Linked DNA regions of Macaca fascicularis. The protein of the gene in region 2 purifies or fractionates together with the protein of the main gene of each other region. This does not show direct contact. Links are inferred from orthologs where the notes say so. Each region holds a gene or a part of one and is shown on either strand. Other genes may lie near its edges. The genes, in order: LYN and GP6.

What was found.
Region 1: the proteins of GP6 (region 2) and LYN purify together in Homo sapiens (affinity purification with western blotting; 5 studies listed by BioGRID and IntAct, with this or other methods). This does not show direct contact. The link is inferred for Macaca fascicularis from reciprocal best matches to the Homo sapiens genes GP6 and LYN.

Annotation. Positions count from the first base shown.
Region 1 is NC_088382.1:65,848,388-65,852,642, reverse strand, and holds the start of LYN (tyrosine-protein kinase Lyn), read right to left. Parts: upstream 2,997-4,255; 5' UTR 2,994-2,996; coding exon 2,667-2,993; intron 1-2,666. UniProt on the Homo sapiens protein: Non-receptor tyrosine-protein kinase that transmits signals from cell surface receptors and plays an important role in the regulation of innate and adaptive immune responses, hematopoiesis, responses to growth factors and cytokines, integrin signaling, but also responses to DNA damage and genotoxic agents.
Region 2 is NC_088393.1:62,910,582-62,914,870, forward strand, and holds the start of GP6 (platelet glycoprotein VI), read right to left. Parts: upstream 2,899-4,289; 5' UTR 2,855-2,898; coding exon 2,821-2,854; intron 1-2,820.

The DNA.
Region 1 (4,255 bases), on a different chromosome or scaffold from region 2:
AGAGGTTCAAATGAAATTCGAGTTCAGGAAGACTTCAGAGCCCTGAACTAATGAAAGGTGCTAACACTTTCACCATCATCGCTAGGAAGAGCCAGAAAAGGTCTGAGGCTATCTCTGCTGTCAACATGACATTGATCAATGTCCTGACTAATGATTGTGGTGGCCTTTCAATGTTAACACTCATCCATGCATCACTGAGATCATCAGTAGGAGTGAGCTTATAACGACGTTCCCTGCTGTGGGCATGTATACATTGTATCCTTATTTATAAAGTTAGTATGGGTTTGTACATGAATAATATGATTTAATTTTGTTAAGTTACAACTCCACATAGTCATGTGAACCAACTGGAATCTCAGCTGTTTTTGGTGATTTATTTCTAAAAACAAATACTACAGATAGAAGTAAAAGGCTTTCAAAGTCATTGAACAGTGCTGGACCACTTTTCTGCTAAAAGAAAGCTATTGGAGGGGTGGGGCCGGGGCGGGATTACAAAGTTTCCACCTACCTTGGTAACACCAATGACTCTAAAATAATGTGGGCCTTCTGGATTGGGCCAACTACCTTTGCAGGAAACATCTTAACCACCCCACATCAAGACTTCTCTTCCAGTGATAAGTAGAGAAGAGCGGTGCTGAGTGGAGACTCATTTAGAACACTAAATGTGGATAACTCAGTGCTGGGTAACTTTACAATCAACAAAGCCTCTCAAATCCCCGTTTTAGAAACCACAACAGAAAGGGCCAGTAGGCTTCAAACACTTTAGGGACCAGCTCTATTTCTTCATCTCCCTATGTCCTCAGTTTTACATAGGGCAAGCTCACAGGAGCCCTTCATTCCTTCTTCCAACTAATCTCGAACTGAGCACCTACTATGTACCAGGCACTGGGGCTATCATTTTGGACAAGACAGATGAAGCGGTTTTCATGGAGCTTCCACTGTAATAGTGAATACAGACTATCAACCTGCAGACAAATCAATATAACTCTGACTGCTGCTATAAAGGAAATGTTGGCTAAATAAATGACCCAAGTGGTTTATCCCAAATCACAGCATATTAAATGATGGAAGAGGCCAAAACCCAAGTTTCCTCGCTCCTATTTTCTCTCCCCTTACATCTGCTGCCCTCTATCCTTCACTCAGCAAAAGGGCCACACATTTACATCCAAAGAGACCCAGTCACCAAAGACTCTATGATCTAATGAAATTTCTTCAGGCCTGAAAGCACTTACCTGCTTACCTCCAAATGAGAATGGAGGGACTAACTGGATCCCACCCTTTCCCAACAAAGCTTACTCTTACAGAGAAGGGCTTAGTAAGGTCTAGGCTCTTGCAGTGCCTATTCCCCAGGGCATGGCTTTAGGTGTTGGCTGTAGAGAGAAAACATCCCTGTAGCCCACCAGTTTATTGGCTAGTTCTTTAGGGCAAGTCAGACTACTGGGCCCTGCTTTGGGACAGCAAATCCCTCATGTATTTATTAAGCAGATTTACTAATAAGGTCAGATGGCTAAATCAGACATGGTAGTCTTAGGTTCAATATCACCAGGCTGCAAAGAACCAAGAAGCCTCGTTTATATGAATAGAAGTCACTGCAATAAATAACAGTAACATCGTTTATGAAATGTTTGGTATGTACTAGGGGCTCTGTGTGTACTAAACAGTCCCTGAGGTATATATGCTTTCTCAAAGATGAAGAAACCCAAACAGGGAATTTCAATAATCGGTCCCCTAAATATACAGCCAGAAAAGTGCAAGGCCTGGATTCTGAGCCGGCGAAGAAGGGCGAATTTGGGATAATTAACACACACGGTTATACAAAGAAATGAAGATACAACCACTAGTTCACACGACAGGCAGGCTGTTGGAAAGTTACGAATGCACCGCAAGCAAAAGATGCCACCATGGGCCCAGAGAAAGCAGGAAAGTGGGAAGTGACTCTTACGCCCTTCCCCCAAGGCGAAGGAAAGGCAACCCCTGAATTCTTAAAATAACTCTCGCTTCCTCTCAGCCGGCAAAAGCACCGGACTGCTCCTCCGCAGGCCGAAAGGCGCCGCAGCGGGAGGGTGAGCTCCAGCCTCCGCCGCAGACCCTCGACGTCACGCTCCTGCCCCGGGCCACCAGGGAGGGCAGCTGTCCGCGGGCCTCGAGAGGGCGCCGGCGGAGCCCCATCTCCCACTTCCAGGGGACCCAGGGTCCAGAGGGGAGACCAGATCGCACAATCCGAGGAGTTGTCTCCAGTATCCCTGCCGCGCGCCCGCTCCGCAAGGGCACGGGCTTCGCCGCCGTGCGCGCTGAGCGGCCGGAGCGGGGACAGCAGCCGGCCCTCGGGCCCTCGCCGGGAAGGACCCGCGGTGAGCCCGCCCCCGCGCCCGCACCTCCCACCGCTCCCCTGCGCGGCTCAGCCGCTGACACCTGCGGAGCCTCGGTCCCCGCACCCTGGCTCCCCCGGGGCCGGTCGCCCGCCGGCTGAAGACATCTGAGAGCCTTCGCCGCCGAGGCCCGGAGGCTGTGCGGCCAGGAAGCCGCCGCGGGCCGCGCCGATGCCCCTGGCCCCGAGTCGACCCTGCGCCCGGGACTCTGGCTAGTGGCACAGCCGCGGTCCCTGCACCCCCGGCCCGCGTGCCCGCGCGCCCGCGCCCACACTTGGGTTCGCGCAGAGGACTCACCCGCTCGCGGTGAAAGTTTCGGGGTGGCGGAGCTCCACGGTGACTTGAGTTCAGAGCAGGGGGCGCGACGGGGCGGCCCAGCAGGACCTGCGTAGGGGGAGGCTGCTGGCCGGGAACGCGGGACGCGCGGCGAGGGGCTGCTGGCGCGGGGCCGGGGTTGGCGCGGCCGCCCCGCTTGCCGCGGGCTGGAGGCTGCAGCGCGTCGGGCCCGGAGGCGCCACGGCCGGGGAGCGAGCGGCAGCGCGGCCCGGCGCGGCGGGAGAGGAACTGGCTGTCTCTGGGCTCGGTCGAGAGGTCCCAGCTACTTCCTGGTGCTCGGATTTGCATATTGAGCCCGGAGGGCGGGGAAGTGACCGTTTGGTCCCTGCCCAAGGTTTGGGTGTTTGGTGTGGCCGTCGCGCAGGGCTTTGAAGGCACAGAAACCTGGCGACTCAGTCGGCAGCTCCGGGGAGTGGAACAGCCTGGGCCAGCCTTCTACTGTAGGGACGGACGGAACGATCTCCGGAGGAGCCTGGGCTTCGCAGGCACATCGACGATACCTCTCGCGTCTCCTTTCCTTTCCTTCCGACCCATCCCCAAGGTGTCAGGAAGGGGGTGCTCCCGGGAGCGGAGGAGGTGCGCTCTGATGCCTTCCAACATTTGGGGTTCTCTAGAGAAAGGACGCGCGCGATATGCCGAGGTGATGCTCGGGGTCTCGTTGAGTTCTTAGTAATCATTACGAAGTAAGTTCCTTAAGGGTGTACAGGAGGCTGTTCAGGGCATTGATGTGGAAGGGGATGACATGGAGTCAACGGGCCCGGCAGATTCTCCGTTTCTCAAAGCCTCAGTTTCCTCCCAGGACAATGGATGTAAGGATGCCTATCTCGTGTACCTTTCTGTACAGGGCACGCACTGGCCGCATGCAGGAATGCTGGCGTTATTTCATTCCTGCTACAGCTGCATCCCAGCATGTAGGGCAGTGCTTGCACGTAGCAGGTGCCTGACCAGTGTTCGCTGAAAGAATGTGTGACCGCGTGCTTAAGCTCATGTTCAACTCAATAAATGCCACTTACAAATCCAAGATGTAAGATTAGGCTCGGTCAGTGGATACCCACTTCTACGCCAGATTATGTTCACTGGGATCCCAGCATTGCAGTACCTTGAAAAATTTACAAGGAAACAAATTGGACACTGTGGGAGACTTGGTCTTTGCATTAATAGCAAACATTTACAGAGGGCCTGATGGGCCAGACACTGCCCAAAGCACTTCCTTTCTCTCATTAACAATGTTCTGAAGAGGCTGGCCCCAGCTACAGAGCAATAAGTCAAAGCAGCTGCCTTGTGACACAGTCTGATACAGCAGTCATTTGTTACTAGGAAAGGAGTACTAAAGTTTGCATACTAATTCCTTAAAAGAAAAAAAGAAAGGTGGTTTATACCTGTGATGTTCACTGGTAGGTAGTCGTTAGTTTACTGCTGAAGAGAAGGGGTGGGTTACCCATGGGAAGGTGTGTGATTGAAACCTGTCAAGAATCCTATGGAGAAAAATGGAAAAATGAAAAAAAAAAAAAAAAAAAAAAAAAGAAAAAGAAAAAAAAAAGAATCCTATG
Region 2 (4,289 bases):
CATCCAGTGTTTTATAACAACATATTGCACACTCGCATATCACTGAGAGTAGGTTTTAAAGTTCTCACTGGCCAGGCGCAGTGGCTCACACCTGTAATCCCAGCATTTTGGGAAGCCAAGGCGGGTGGATCACCTGAAGTCAGGAGTTAAAGACCAGCCTGACCAACATGGGAAGCCCTGTCTCTAGTAAAAGTACAAAAATAAGCTGGGCGTAGTGGTAGGAGCCTGTAATCCCAGCTACTCAGGAGGCTGAGGCAGGAGAATCACTTGAACCTGGGAGATGGAGGTTGCAGTGAGCTGACATCACACCACTGCACTCCAGCCTGGGCGACAGAGTGAGACTCTGTGTCAAAAAATAAGTAAAAATAAATGAGTGTGGAATACTACTCAGCCATTAAAAGGAACAAAATAATGTCCTTTGGCCAGGCACAGTGGCTCACACCTGTAATGCCAGCACTCTGGGAGGCCGAGGCGGGTGGATCATGAGGTCAAGAGATCAAGACCATCCTGGCTAACATGGTGAAACCCGTCTCTACTAAAAATACAAAAATTAGCCGGGCGTGGTGACGGCGCCTGTAGTCCCAGCTACTCGGGAGGCTGAGGCAGGAGAATTGCTTGAACCCGGGAGGAGGAGGTTGCAGTGAGCCAAGATCACGCTGCTGTACTCCAGTCTCGGCAACAGCGAGATTCCAGCTCAAAAAAAAAAAAATGTCTTGCAGCAACTTGGATGTAGCTGGAGACATTATTCTAAGTAAAGTAACACAGGAGTGGAAAACAAAAATCTGTATGTTCTCACTTACAAGTGAGAGCTAAGCTGTGGGTATGCAAAGGCATACAGGGTGATGTAATGGACTTCAGAGACTCAGAAGAGAAGGGCAGAAGGTGGGTAGGGATGAAAAACTACACATTAGGTACAAGGTATACTACTCAAGTGACAGGGGCACTAAAATCTCAGAATTCACCACTATATAGTTCATCCATGTAACCAACAACCACTTGTATCCCAAAAGCAATTGAAGCAAAAATTAAGCCAGATGCAGTAACCTGTACAGGTCAAACCTGTAACCCCAACACTGTGGGAGGCCGAGGTAGGTGGATCGCTTGAACCCAAGAGTTCGAGACCAGCCTGGGCAGCATAGTGAGACCCCATAACTACAAAAATTACAAAAATGAGCCAGGCATGATGGTGTGCAACTGTAGTTCCAGCTACTCAGGAGACTGATGGGGAAGGATTGGTTGAGCCTGGGAGGTTGAGGCTAGAGTGAGCCATGATCATGCCACTGCACTCCAGCCTGGGTGACAGAAGTGAGGCCCTGTCTCAAGTAAAATTAAATAAATAAAAGTTAAAACAGGCCGGATGCGGTGGCTCACGCCTGTAACCCCAGCACTTTGGGAGGCCGAGGCGGGTAGATCACCTGAAGTCAGGAGTTCAAGTCCAGCCTGGTCAACATGGTGAAACCCCGTCTCTACTAAAAATATAAAAATTAGCCGGACCTGGCGGTGGATGCCTGTAATCCCAGCTACTTCGGAGGCTGAAGCAGGAGAATCACTTGGACCCAGGAGGCAGAGTTTGCAGTGAGCCAAGATCGTGCCACTGCACTCCAGCCTGAGCAACCAACAGAGTGAGACTCCATCTCAAAAAAAAAAAAAAAAAAAAAGTTAAAGAATACATCCGTGGATGGATAATGAATGAGAGGTTGTTTATATTCACAGTTAACCCTCTCATCTCCAGTAACACAACCATCTCCTTCCTGCTTAGCCTTTTGGAGATGCTGTCCCTTTAGTGGTCAAATTCTCCTGAAGAAATCAGGAAACAATGCATTCGACATGCCCAGCACAAGTGAAGAGCAGGCAGTGGAAATGCATTCGACCTGCCACCCATCGGTCAGGAGACTCTTATTTACTCCACTGCTGTAGGGGATACTGACAAATTAAATCCATAACCTAGTCCAGATATCATCAAGTCCACAATTTTTGTTTGTTTTTTTGAGATGGAGTTTTGCTCTTGTTGCCCAGGCCGGAGTGTAATGGCGTGATCTCGGCTCACTGCAACCTCCGCCTCCCAGATTCAAGCGATTCTCCTGCCTCAGCCTCCAGAGTAGCTGGGATTACAGGCATGCGCCACCACGCCCAGATAATTTTGTATTTTCAGTAGAGATGGGGTTTCTCCATGTTGGTCAGGCTGGTCTCCAACTCCCAACCTCAGGTGATCCGTCCGCCTCGGTCTCCCAAAGTGCGTGAGCCACGGCACTCAGCGGTTTTTTGAGACGGAGTCTCTCTCTGTTGCCCAGGCTGGAGTGCAATGCCTGACCTCAGCTCACTGCAACTTCTGCCTCCCGGTTTCAAGCAATTCTCCCACCTCAGCCTCTCGAGTAGCTGGGATTACAGGCACCGCCCCGTCATGCCCGGCTAATTTTTGTAGAGACGGGGTTTCGCCATGTTGGCCAGGCTGGTCGTGAACTCCTGACCTCAGGTGATCCACCCACCTTGGCCTCCCAAAGTTGAGATTACAGGCATGAGCCACCGTGCCTGGCCCACAGTTATTTAAAAAGGGGCAACTGCAGTGTCGTAGAACAAAGTTGTGACCAATGCTAGGACACCTCTGTTCATTTCCTGACCCAGCCACGAATACACTGGAATAACTCAGGCAAAATACACCACCTCGCTGGCCCTCCGCTTCCCCACCCAACCAATGAAGGGGCTCTCATAGGTCCCTTTTTGTCCTGAAATTCATCACCGATGCAAATTTCTTAAAAAATCCTTTGTCTGGCAGTCTAGGCCTGTCTTTCAGCACTTCCCAGATCGACCCTCAGGACTCACCGAGACAGAAGAGGGTGGTCGGGGATGGAGACATGGTTCCTCAGCCCTGTCCTGGGTTCTGTGGCCCGGGAGGGAAGTGGTGGGAGCCTGGGCACGGGCTCAGGATGTGATGAGGATGAAGAATGCTCTCCTCCCTTCCTCCGCCAGCCCCGGCCTTTCCTAATTGAGACTCATCGAGCCGTAGCCGGCTCCCCAGGACAGTGACTTGCACACAAGCTCCAAGGAGCCGCGCTTATCTCCTCTGGCCAGCCTGGCGTTGCACCGTTCGTCCGCCTGCTGGGGCCTGGCCTGTGTTCCCGTGCTCCCATAAACTCCCTGATGTCGCTAGGAAAATACTCATCAAAACCACAGTGAGATATGACTTCACAACTTCTGGGATGGCTATAATTTTTTTTTTTTTTTTTTCCCAGACAGAGTCTCGCTCTTTTTGCCCAGGCTGGAGTGCAGTGGCGCCATCTCGGCCCACTACAACCTCCACCTCCTTGGTTCAAGTGATTCTCCGGCCTCAGCCTCCCAAGTGGCTGGGGTTATAGGTGTGCACCACCACGCTGGGCTAATTTTTGTATTTTTAGTAGAGATGGGGTTTCACCACATTGGCCAGGCTGGTCTTGAACTCCGAACTTCAGGTGATCCGCCCACATTGGCCTCCCAAAGGGCTGGGATTACAGGCATGAGCCACTGCGCCCGACCAGCTATAATTTTTTTTAATGGAAAACAGCAAACGTTGGTGAGTATGCAGAGAAGTTGGACTGCGCGTGCCTTGCTGGCGGGGACATAACATGGTGCCACTGCTGTGGAAAACAGTTTTAGCAGCTCCTCCAAAAGTTAAACGTGGGATTGCCGTAAAATCCAGCAATTCCACTTCTGCGTATACACCTAAAAGAATCGAAAACAGGATCTCGAACATATTTGTACACCAGTGTTCCTAGCAGCTTTATTCACAATAGCCAAGAGGTGAAACCAGCCAAATATTCATCAACAACAATGGATAAACAACGTGCGGTATATACAGACAAGGTAACATCAACCAACCTTCATTAAAAGAATAAAAATCAGCCGGGCGCGGTGGCTCACGCCTGTATTTTATTTATTTTTTTTTTTTTTGTTTATTTTTTTTTTTTGAGACGGAGTCTCGCTCTGTCGCCCAGGCTGGAGTGCAGTGGCATGTGATCTCGGCTCACTGCAAGCTCCGCCTCCCGGGTTCACGCCATTCTCCCGCCTCAGCCTCCCAAGTAGCTGAGACTACAGGCGCCCGCCACCACGCCCGGCTAGTTTTTTGTATTTTTAGTAGAGACGGGGTTTCACCATGTTAGCCAGGATAGTCTCGATCTCCTGACCTCGTGATCCACCCGCCTCGGCCTCCCAAAGTGCTGGGATTACAGGCTTGAGCCACCGCGCCCGGCCAGGCTCACGCCTGTAATCCCAGCACTTTGGGAGGCTGAGGCGGGTGGATCACTTGAGATCAGGAG